Linked DNA regions of Macaca mulatta. The protein of the gene in region 3 interacts with the protein of the main gene of each other region in a pairwise test. Links are inferred from orthologs where the notes say so. Each region holds a gene or a part of one and is shown on either strand. Other genes may lie near its edges.

What was found.
Region 1: the proteins of PPP3CA (region 3) and C20H16orf74 interact in binary tests that used the Homo sapiens proteins (3 or more experiments, as listed by UniProt). The two-hybrid records come from large-scale screens. The link is inferred for Macaca mulatta from reciprocal best matches to the Homo sapiens genes PPP3CA and C16orf74.
Region 2: the proteins of PPP3CA (region 3) and AKAP5 interact in binary tests that used the Homo sapiens proteins (3 or more experiments, as listed by UniProt). The link is inferred for Macaca mulatta from reciprocal best matches to the Homo sapiens genes PPP3CA and AKAP5.

What each region holds. Positions count from the first base shown.
Region 1 is NC_133425.1:81,095,227-81,099,490, forward strand, and holds the start of C20H16orf74 (uncharacterized protein C16orf74 homolog), read right to left. Parts: upstream 2,917-4,264; 5' UTR 2,781-2,916; coding exon 2,579-2,780; intron 494-2,578; coding exon 435-493; 3' UTR 1-434.
Region 2 is NC_133412.1:137,562,919-137,566,157, reverse strand, and holds the end of AKAP5 (A-kinase anchor protein 5), read right to left. Parts: intron 3,221-3,239; 5' UTR 2,958-3,220; coding exon 1,674-2,957; 3' UTR 574-1,673; downstream 1-573. UniProt on the Homo sapiens protein: Multivalent scaffold protein that anchors the cAMP-dependent protein kinase/PKA to cytoskeletal and/or organelle-associated proteins, targeting the signal carried by cAMP to specific intracellular effectors.
Region 3 is NC_133410.1:110,350,211-110,354,534, forward strand, and holds the end of PPP3CA (protein phosphatase 3 catalytic subunit alpha), read right to left. Parts: intron 4,002-4,324; coding exon of another isoform or gene 3,972-4,001; intron 843-3,971; coding exon 646-842; 3' UTR 604-645; downstream 1-603. UniProt on the Homo sapiens protein: Calcium-dependent, calmodulin-stimulated protein phosphatase which plays an essential role in the transduction of intracellular Ca(2+)-mediated signals. Many of the substrates contain a PxIxIT motif and/or a LxVP motif.

The DNA.
Region 1 (4,264 bases), on a different chromosome or scaffold from region 3:
TCCGTCTCAAAAAAAAAAAAAAAAACAAAAAAAAAAACAGCCACTCCACCTGCAAGAAGTTCTTGTTTGTGCTTATGGCAGGGGCACGTATTTGCACAGCCCGTGGGGCTGGGAAGGTGTGTTTGTCCTGAAGAGAGCCTCTCCCTGGGACCCCAACAGCCAGGACCATGGAGCTCCCTTGCACCAGGCTGGAGTCAGCAAGACCCTGGAGGTGTCAGAGGTCCAGTCCACTCAGCAGGGTCGGGAAACACTGTTCCGGAAGCAGGCAGGCTGGATTCCTCGCTGGTCCTGCCACATCTCTCCCAGCGGAGACCCAGATTCGCTCAGTTCCCATCCAAGGTATTCAGCACACCTGCTCCAGGCAGCCACGCCCCCGGACACCTGAAGCTGGGACCCCGCAGCAGGAGCCCACCAGACAAATCCACGACACCTCCTCAGGCTTCTGGGTCGAGTTCTCCATCATCCGGGCACGACCCTGTCTCATCCAACCAGACTAGGAGAAAGAGGGGATGGTGACACCTGGATGCACCCCGCCCCCACCACACCCAGGCCCGCTTCCCTGGGAGCTGCAGGGCTGAGGCCTCTGGGATTCCTTGCTTTCTGGTGCTGCCAGAGGCAGAGATGGGACCCAGCCCAGTGATGCTGGATCCTTCTGGGTGAGTCGGATCCCGGAGCTGCTTAAGTTTCAGAGGAACTCCTCCCAGGGTTCAGGAACCTCCCTAGGGCTCGGACCCTGCAGAGTAACCCTGTGTCTCCCCTCTGCCCACACTGGTCCTGGAAGCAGGCAAAGTGGCATGATCCCATTTTATAGGTGAGGACACAGGCTCAGAGAGGGAAGAGACTGTGACAGCTGAGCTAAGGACCTGGGCCTCTGTCCGCCCACACTGGGCTCTCTGATTAGACAGCACTGGGGTGCAGGAGGAGCACTGCAGCAGGAGCCCAGCTCTTCTCCCACCTTGCTGTGTGTCCCTGGGCAAGGCACTGTCCCTCTCTGGACCTGTTTGTTTCCCCATTTCTAAACTAGAGATAAGGGTTGGAATGAGAATTAAATGAGATTTGTGAAAAGCATTTAGCCTGGTGCCAGGCACTTGGAAAGGTCACAGAGGAAGGCACCCCACTGCACCCACCATGGCTCCACCCAGCACCTGCACTGGTCCAACCCAGAGGGGCCTGACAGCTTTCTCCCAGTCACTTGCTCTGCCGGGCAAGCGGAGACCCAAGCTCAGGACATCTGGAAGGGTCTACAGATCCCCCCTCCCAGACAGCCTTCCACGTACCCTACATCAGCCTCATGGGTGCCGTGTCGCTTACATGGGCCCAGCGAGACCCACGTCACAATGGCTGTCAACTAACTGATGCCACCTGTGGGGAGGGCATCCGGCCTGGGGGCCATGGTGTGAAGTGCAGATCACACAGCCTGGGGCTGCTTCCCCGCTGCACCACTGACCAGCTGCACGGCAAGTGTCTCAGCCTCTCTCAACCTCAGATTACCCATTTCTAAAATGGGGATGCGGCTGGGTGCGGTGGCTCATGCCTGTAATCCCATCACTTTGGGAGGCCCAGGCAGGCGGATCACCTGAGGTCAGGAGTTTGAAACCAGCCTGACCAACACGACGAAACCCCATATCTACTAAAATACAAAAATTAGCTGGGCATGGTGGTGGGCACCTGTAATCCTAGCTATTCAGGAGGCTGAGGCAGAAGAATCACTTGAACAAGGGAGATGGAGGTTGCAGTTAGCCGAGATTGCACCACAGCACTCCAGCCTGAGCAACAGAGCAAAACTCCATCTCAAAAAATAAATAAATACAAATAATAAAATGGGGATGAAATCTGTACTTAACTCTGAGAATTCCTGTAAGAACTAAATAAGAAAATCCACTCATTACACTCAGTACAGTGCAACCTATCATGACCATCCCCAATATCATTATTATTCATAGCAGCAGCCTTCAGCACCTGGTGTAGGCCCAGCTCAATAAATCTTTGCTCGATGAATACGTGAACAATTTGTCCCACCAGCACCAGAGGTATCACCGAGGGGCAGGTGGGGGAGCCGATTTGGGCCTGTGTCCCACCTCCTCACCCTCTCCCTGGGAAGAACTCTATTTCCTCCCTGCTCCCAGCAGTGAGCTGCATCTGGAAGGCCCAGGGTCCGGCCCCAGCCTGGGCATGGGCTGTGTTTCCCAGTCTGTCCTGTCCAGCCAAACTGCAGCAGCCAACAAGACGGAGGAGCGGTCCTCCCGCTGGCAGGGGAAGGAGCATCCATCAATTACCTTGGCTGGCGGGAGCCACAGTGTGGCAGGCCAGCCCGGCCCCATCCATCAATCGTACTGGCTGCTGGCAGAGGCTGTCTACTAATTACTTAACACGCCGCGTCGTGCTGAGGCTGGCGCCGTGGCAGGGGGCTCACGGTGCAGTGTACACAGGTCTGACCATAAATGCTTAATGAACCCAGGGGGAGGTGGGGACGCAAGCTCGGCCCCGTGGCCCAGAAGGACGCCCCTGAGAGCTGTCTCCACCAGGCCACCAGGCCCCCAGACCCGACCCTGCTTGGCGGCAGAGGAGACGGCCTCACCTGTGTTCCCCGAGTCCCTCGGCAGCATCATGCCTGTGGGGGTGGGGGGCGTGATGATGATGTCGGGCACATCCAGGTGCTTGTCGTTCAGGACGGGGGCCTCTTCGTGGCTGCTGCTGCTGCTGCTGACACACATTTTAAAGCCTGAGAAGCCAGGCGTGGAGCACACACGCACGTACACACACAACAGAGAGACAGGCATCAGTGGCCGCCAGGAACCGCGGGTGCCACCCCCCCTTCATCACCTGAGTCCTGACGCCTCGCAGCAAGGGGCGCAGCTGTCCCCGCATCACAGATGAAAACCTGAGTCTCAGGAATGTCAAAGGAGCCCCCAACACATCTCCCAGAACCATGAGTCGGGAAACAGATTTTGGGAAATGCTGATCACAGGCTAGTTGGCCTCTAGGTCCAGTTTTCAGCCTTCACCATGTGGCCCAGCCAGCTGCAGCCCCATTTCTGGCCACCAGCCCCTACTCTGCAAAGCGCTCACACTTCCCCAGACTCCCTGGGCTCCCGGGGCCCTTTTGTGCCTTTGCATATGCTGTTCCCCCGGCCTGGGATGCTCTTTCTTCCTCTGCCTGAGTAACAAGCTCCTGCTTATCCTTCAAAGCCTGGTGCAACGGGCTCTTCCTTGGGAAAGGTGTCCCAGCAGATCTGGCCTCTCCCTCTTCTGCCTGTCTGCGTTTACTCATTCATCAATGAATGACACGATTTGTTTTTATTTCTACCTCTCTTTGCTGTGAACACCTGGAGGACAGTCTCTACTTCATTCATCTGTGTTTCCCTTGAGCTCAGCACATGCTCGAGACAGAGTAAGTAGGAGTGCTTTAAATTTTAAATGCGGGCTGGGTGGTGGCTCATGCCTATAATCCTAGCGCTTTGGGAGGCCGAGATGGGCAGATCACTTGAGGTAAGGAGTTCAAGACCAGCCTGGCCAACATGGTGAAACCTCGTCTCTACTAAAATACAAAAATTAGCTGGGCGTGATAGCACACACCTGTAATCCCAGCTACTCGGGAGGCTGAAGCAGGAGAATCACTTGAACCCGGGAGGCAGAGATTGAAGTGAGCTGAGATCGCACCATTGCACTCTAACCTAAGTGACAGAGTGAGACTCCATCAAAAAAAAAAAAAAAAAAAGGCCAGGTGCAGTGGCTTACAACTATAATCCCAGCACTTTGGGAGGCCAAGGCGGGCAGATCACCTAAGGTCAGGAGTTCAAGACCAGCCTGACCAACACGGAGAAACCCTGTCTCTACTAAAAATAAAAATAAAAAAATTAGCTGGGCATGGTGTTGTGTGCCTGTAATCCCAGCTACTCGGGAGGCTGAGGCAGGAGAATCGCTTGAACCTGGGAGGCAGAGGTTGAAGTGAGTTGAGATTGCACCATTGCACTTCAGCCTAAGTGACAGAGTAAGAATCCATCTAAAAAAAAAAAAAAAAAAGGCCGGGCATGGTGGTTTACACCTGTAATCCCAGCACTTTGGGAGGCCGAGGTGGGCAGATCACTTGAGGTCAGGAGTTCAAGACCAGCCTGGCCAACATGGTGAAACCCCCGTCTCTACTAAAATACAAAAATTAGCTGGGCGTGGTGGCACACACCTGTAATCTCAGTTACTCAGGAGGCTGAGGCAAGAGAATTGCTTGAACCTGGGAGGCAGAGGTTGAAGTGAGCTGAGATCCTACC
Region 2 (3,239 bases), on a different chromosome or scaffold from region 3:
TGGCTAACAGGGTGAAACCCCGTCTCTACTAAAAATACAAAAAATTAGCCTAGCGTGGTAGTAGGCGCCTGTAGTCCCAGCTACTTGGGAGGCTGAGGCAGGAGAATGTCATGAACCCAGAAGGTGGAGCTTGCAGTGAGCCGAGATCGCGCCACTGCACTCCAGCCTGGGTGACAGCAAGACGCCGTCTCAAAAAAAGAAAAGAAAGGAAAATAGTGATGAAAAAGTTAATTGTCAATATCCATGTAAAATGATTTTTACTGGTTTCTCTCAACACACAGACAGGAAGTAATATTGACATTTAAATTATAATGTGCTTTAACTTTTCACTTTCTATTCACCCACATTCATGGCTCATTTTTGGCCAAAAATAAATAATATTTGCACTAGATTATTAGGATTTTCCAGGACCATTACTACCAGCCTGGCTTTGAATCTACTCTCGCCTCTTTGGAGAGAGGTTGATGAATATGGCTCTTAAAGAAGTAATTCTGCAAGATGAATCCTATATTATCTATGATAATTTAATTGGGAATTTTCCCTTCTTCTGGATGAAGAAGAATATTCCACTTGTTTTGTTTTTGCTGTTTCGTTTTTTAACTTTTCACAGATAAATCCATGCAGAAATGGATATATACAGATCTGTTGAGGCAGAAAGAAGAGAGGGAAAAACCCACTCCTTTTTCTACACTTTTGCACTTAGTAACAGTTTGCCTGATTGAAGGATTTGTGAATGGTTCTCCTTTTTTTTTTTTTCTTTTTTGAGATGGAGTCTTGCTCTGGTGTCCAGACTGGAGTGCAGTGGTGCAATTTTGGCTCACTGCAACCTCCACCTTTCGGGTTCAAGCAATTCCCCTGCCTCAGCCTCCCAAGTAGCTGGGATTACAGGCGCACGCCACCACGCCCAGCTAATTTTTGTATTTTCAGTAGAGACGGGGTTTCACCACATTGGCCAGGCTGGTCTCAAACTCCTGATCTTAGCTGATCCACCCTCCTTGGCCTCCAAAGTGCTGGGATTATAGGTGTGAGCCACCACACCCGGCCAAATAGCTCTTATAAGGGACTTAAGACTAGAAAACCACTCACGTTTAATTTCAATATGCGTATTCTGCACACTATCTGCTGAAATTGGGAAAATGCAATGTATTTTTTGAGTTAAGCCTACTGCTTAGGAATGTAACAATTACAAATCACATTCACAAAAGTAGCTCACCTTATTCACCATTTTAAACAACATATATGTGCACTGTAAAAATAAGTTTTTAAAAACTCAATGTGATGTTAGCCTATACACAGCTGAATTATCAAAAGGAAACCAGACTTTGTTATATCAGAGGTCATTAAAAAGCTTATGGCATACCATAAGTGCTCAATAAATACATCTTCCTCCCCCAAAGCACTCCAATCTCCATATGCCGTTTTAGCAACTCCCTGTATGTTATGTCACTTTATACTGCAATCTGTGCTGACTTCCTCCAATCCAGAAGTGACTGCATTTCAGTGGTAGAGTTTTATAAACTTGACTTAATCTTTAGCACTTCTACGCTGGAATTGTACCTTTTAAGTTCTAGAGATGATAAATCTCTCATTTGTTACTGAGTAAGAAATGCCACAAATGTATAAAAGAATTCTTCATTAAGCTTATTTTTCCTGCCATGACTCTGGAGAGTAAGTCACTGTAGAAGATTGTTTATTTTATTATCATCAGAGGCCATTTCATTAACCAGCTGTTCTACTGACAACTGAATAGCATTCTTGACAAGAGAAGAGGCTGTTTCAATTAAGAGTGTTTCATATTGTTCTGAAGTTCTATCCTCAAAACCATTATCATTAGCAAAAACCCCTACTTGCTCATTTTCAGTTGAAATTAAGAATTGCTTAGGGACATTTTTTGATTTCTTAACATCAAATTCACTGATTTCAGTGTCTGTAATAATAATAGCAATGGGCTCTATTCGTTTGCTTTCTTCTAATTTGGACTTCTCTTCAGTGATCCCATTTTCTTTAAAATCTGATTCTTGGCTCAATTCAGTATCTTTTGGCTTAGTTTCTTCAGCTACAATCTCTCTACTTTCATAGTCTTTCCCATTTGGTGCACTTTTTAGGATATTGTTACTGGCTTCTTCCATAATTTGTTGAGCTGGGATTGCAGGTAAAGGTGGAACATCAGAAAGTACTGTTTGCTGATGGTCTGTTTCTGAAGTTTCAAGTGGGCCTGCTTGCTGGGGTTGAACATCTTGTTTTTCCTTGACCGTTTCAATTTCTTCAAGGATTAGAGTTCCCGTTTGAATAGCAGAATGCCCATCATCTAATCCAAGTTCTACTGAAATCACTTTCTCTCCAGAAGTTATGCTATTGCTCACATTTGATTCACAGACTTCATCACCATCTTTCCGTGAGATGCCTTCACTTAGATCCTGGGTTGACTTAGCCTTTGTTGCCTGATCATTCAATGGGGTCTGTGTTTGTATATCCAAAATTTCAGCTTCTTCCTGGACTTTGATGCTGCAGTCTGAGTCTTCTATAATTTTGGAATGATTACTCCTTTTTGGCCCTCTTGGGAATTTTATGCAGGGAATCTTAAGTCTAGATTTTGCCTTTTTCTTAGAAAGATCAGCATCCTCAGTGTTTATTGCAGGTTGCACTTCAGCCTCCAATAACTTTTGCTGCTTTGAAGACTCTGACCTTTTCCTGCGTGTTACAAGACGTTTGAGTGAGGCCCAGGCCCCCCGTGGGGGCTCTGGCTGATCAGAAGCTCCTGCTTCTTGGGGACACTTCCTTGCCACATCAGCAGCTTCAGAGCCAACTTTGGGCTTCAGTGCTTTAGCTGCTTTCTTTCTTCTCTTGAAGCAAAGCATGGATGCCTTTTCCTTCTGTCTTTCAGCCCCAGGACTACCTTCTGCTGATCTCTTCTCATCCTTGTTTTCTACATGAATTTCTGAAACTGTGGTTTCCATTTTTACACTGTACTCTTATTCTCTAGAAAACTATATTCTCTCTTCCTTAGCAGCCTTTTGTGACAAAAAGATGGGCAAAAATGTCACACTAGGTAAAATTTCATCCAGGCATATTCATACCTTTCATCTTACTCCATACAGTTGTTTTAGGTGGTTTCTCTAGTATAGAAATGCCCAGTTTCTCTATTGCTTGTAATTTCTCTCTTTAATTTCTTGATGAAAGCCCTTTCTTGAATAAATTTTTGCTTTATTTAAAGATCAACCTGATGAGAGAAAAGAAAG
Region 3 (4,324 bases):
CTGAGGTAAGCATAATCTGTACAAAATTAAACTGTCCTTTTTGGCATTTTAACAAATTTGCAACGTTCTTTTTTTTTCTTTTTCTTTTTTTTTTTTTTTTTAAGACTGCCTAATTCAGTTTATAGCCATTGTCTGACAAGAGTAGCAAAACATTATCAATAAATAGTCCTTAGTTTGTACATCATTTTGTTAAAAATGTTTGATGTCATCCATTTTTAGTGCTGCGACTGTAAACGTACAATAGAATAAGAAATTAGACAAAGTTTTTCATGTCCAGTAACAGAATAAAAGGCCTTTCATTAACCTATCTAGAAGTCCCCAACGCAGTAGGAAAACATGTTCATTCCCCTAACATTGCAGTATATACTAGCATTAGCTTTCTTTTTAAAATTTTTTTTCTCTATAAGCATTTTTAAAAGGCATACCCCAAAGAGGTGTTTAATCACCACCCCCACCAAAATATAGTTTATTATCTCTCTCCCTCTTTTTTAATGATAGTGTAAACTGAATCCAATTCCTGGCCCCCAGAGCAAATAAGCTACTGTCAGAGGCAAGAACATCCAACTGCTGATATGCAGCAATCCCCATCATGCCCTGCAGCTCAAAAAAAAAAAAAAAAAAAAAAAAAAAGTGAACAGGAAGTGGTCACTGAATATTGCTGCTATTACTGCCATTGCTGTCCGTGCCGTTAGTCTCTGAGGTGAGAGCCTTGTTGATGGAGTTAAGGTTGGCGTCAGAGGGCATGGCATCTCTGCGAGGCGGCATCCTCTCATTAATTCGGTCTAAGCCCTTGGCTTCCTCGAAGCTAGTGATCTTATGTTGTGGTGAAAATCCTTTGATAGCTAAACAGAAAATCATTAAAAAGAGAAAAACAGGATTATCCAAAGGAAAACAAAAGGCACAGCTGTTGCAGCAGGTGATGTTAGAGATTTCTCAGTGAGAGGGAATCCTTCAGTGAAGAACAAAGTGACGGGACCTGCACACCACACAACAGACTCCTTACCATACTCGGAGGTAACCAAAGGTTTGAAAACAGCCAATGTCTCTTGCCAACCAAAATGTCCTCTTGAAGTTATTAAGATGTAAACATTTCTCCTGTCTTCATGAAAGTTTAGATCAAAGAAATTCAAAGTGGACACGTAAAGAGGAAAGCTGCTTTCAGGGACAAGCCTCTAGAACCAGCATCAACTGGCCACATCATTAGCATGATTACTGCATCAAACACCTTAATCTAGACAGGCTGCAGCATGTCCCTCTTTGTATTCTTCCATTGTGCTAGGTAATGGCAAATTCAGTGGAATCAGTATGTCTGCTATACCTAAAAACCTAGTAAAGGGCTTAAAGCAGGAGCTAAAAGGAGCTAGAAAAGGAATTAACTAGGGCATTTCCATGCCATCTCAGAATCCCAGAAAGAACTTCTTGACAAACAACTCAATGATGGCATGAAAAAAAACGAAATTATAAACTCCTGTTTCTCCACTCAACTTTGGAAGCATGTGGAGTGAGTGACAAGGTAAGAGAAACTCAAAAAAAATCAAGGTAAGATCACTAGGTAGAAACGTATTATCTGCCCTTCAGCAGCGAACAGGTCAAACTGATGTTCATCTGGTATCCATTACTGCCTAAATGAAAGAAAAACTCAGTAGATCAACGTAATGTAAGTGATGGTTAAATTATAACAAGGAAAAAATGCCTTTCACAATATTTAGCAAAAATGAATTGAACTGGTTTTGGTCCTATTCAATTAAAACACGGAATCTCAAAGTGGGAATGATACTTGATTTTTTAAAAAAGTAATCTTTAGTGTGCTACAGAGATGGGTAAGGCATTTGTACAAAAATCTTAATGATTTCTTCAGTGAGTACACCAACTGGTGAGCTGCAAATAAAACACATAAATGGGGAACCAATGACATCAGTTTGCTTTACTCCCTGTGAAGTGCAAGCCAGATATTTCAGGGCCAATCACCAATGCTCAATTGGGCTGCATCACCATGGCTGATTAAGGATAATTTCATGGTACCTTTATCCTCCCAATCTTATTTGGGGGAGAAAAAAAAAAAAAAAGAAAGCAGTTTCAAGCTGAAATTTACCAGTCACTCCTACGCAAATGTGCAGTGCCTTTTATTAGTATGGATGAGATTCCTAAAAGATATACACAGTCGTTTCAATACTCATTAAACGATAAGAAACAAGTTTCCCCCCCCTCTGCATTTTAAAGGTTAGCATAATGGTGATTAGTCAACTGTGAGAGGAATAAGATGGGGAAATGGGGAAAGACCAAGGCCCAAAGCAAAGCTTGTTAATTCTTCTCTAATTTAGTAATAAATTGCAAAATAATAGAGCTGTCTAACGAGCACCCACCCTGAAAACTAACTCAATTATTTTGATGTACAAAAGAATGGCACGAAGTGGTACTCTACTGGTTTTTTTTTTTTTTTTCAGACTACTGTGAATATAATTTCATCATAATTAACAGGTATAAAAGTTTGTCATCATTATCATTTATGAAATGATTTAATTAATTTAAATGATAAAAGTGAAATTTCTAGGTTTTAAAAGCCAATAGGGTGGGAGTGTCAAAATTAAAAATCTAGCGAGAACAATGGATACTTCTGGAATGGGGCTCCATTTCTAATCATTTTTGTCCATCCTGGTATGGAAGAATGTGCTCTGCTGTAGTTGCTGGTCAGACAATGGGTATTAGCAATTTACATTGGTAGTATACTTAACACAACACAGAGTCACAGAAACCACAGAAAACAGCCAAACTATCAACAAGAATGCACACTGCAGATTAGAATTTGCCAAGAGGAATAGAGAATTCCCACATAAATAGCAGTTTATTCACTGCTATTTAGGAAGCAGTTGTATTTTCTCTTACAGTGCTATTGTTTCCCCTACCATACCCAAATCATGTACAAATTGGAAGAGTCTAAAGTGGCACTTTTTATATCATACCAAAGGACCATATATGCACATAATTTTGAGAAAAACAAAAAAAATACCTTGCAAGAACAAAATACAACTGAAGAATTTTGTTTTAAAGGGGAACTTCAAATTATTATTTTTGAAATTTCCAAAGGATATGGTATGTATATTATTAACAACTATTTTGATTATGCACTTCTCTTATAACTATATATTTAAAAAGCAGTCAAGTAAAAAGCAATTACTAAAGGGTCAACTCTACTGTCCTTGAGTAGTGCTAGGACACAGCTGGAGATGGACACTTCTTTATTTCCCCTGCAGCTCCTAGTACTGTGCCTGGCACAAAGCAGACACTCAGTATACATTCATCAATTGAGTGTTACTTGATACTTGCTATTCTTGTTATTGGCCACTTACATAGCCACTAGATGCTTTTGAACTTTTTATAATATTTAGATGGTGTTAATTCTCATACAAATACCAGTAGGTTAAAATTTGATTTAAGATTACCAGAACTGTTCATCTCATGCACAGCTGTCTCATGTTGGAATATTTTTTAGAGACATAAATTAATGTTGAACTACAACAAAGCACTATTTAAATGAACATTTTTTTCCTTTGGCTACAAACTTCTGAAGACTAGAATTAAGATGGCTATTTTTATTATCTTCAGTGCTGCCTGAAAGTGATTTGAGGGAGGGACATGGTTCAGCTCAAAGATTATTGTTTTATAAGCTACTGGTCAAAACAGCTGCCATAACCCCCACCCCACATCATTCAAAATATATAATCCTTTTGTTTTCTGTGATTCTATTATTCATCATATACAAAAGTCAAACATAGCTTTAAGGGAAAGAAACAAACAAACAAACCATAGAAGGACATTTTCCCCTTTAAAGCAAGAACACTTTGGTTAATACTGAGCCACAACTGTTAGCTCAACACCCACACACTCTGTACAAGCTACAGCAAAAAAATGAATACACCCAGCAGAGCCCTTATCTGTTGCAGGTACAACAGAAAGGGGACTGGCCAATTTACCTTCATCAGCCTCAATAGCCTCAACAGTAGCTGAAGAGAAGAAAGGGGGTGCAAAATGAATGAGAAAAATGAGCAGAGGATTTTTTAACTCTAAGAACAAATCAGTGACCATCAAAGGAGCTAAGAGAACTAATGTTCCTGTAAGTGCTAGATTCTGGCACAGACAACAAAACAGAAATGCTAAAAAGAAAGAAAAAAAAAAAGCCACAGAAATTATAAATTTAATTTATGAGCTGGATACACCTATCTGAATTAAATGCTTTGGTTTTTGCCCACTAAATAAATAACAAACAATCAACCCTTTAGGAAAACACTTAGGAAAATTTCTTTTACATGGACTGAATTATAAGAGA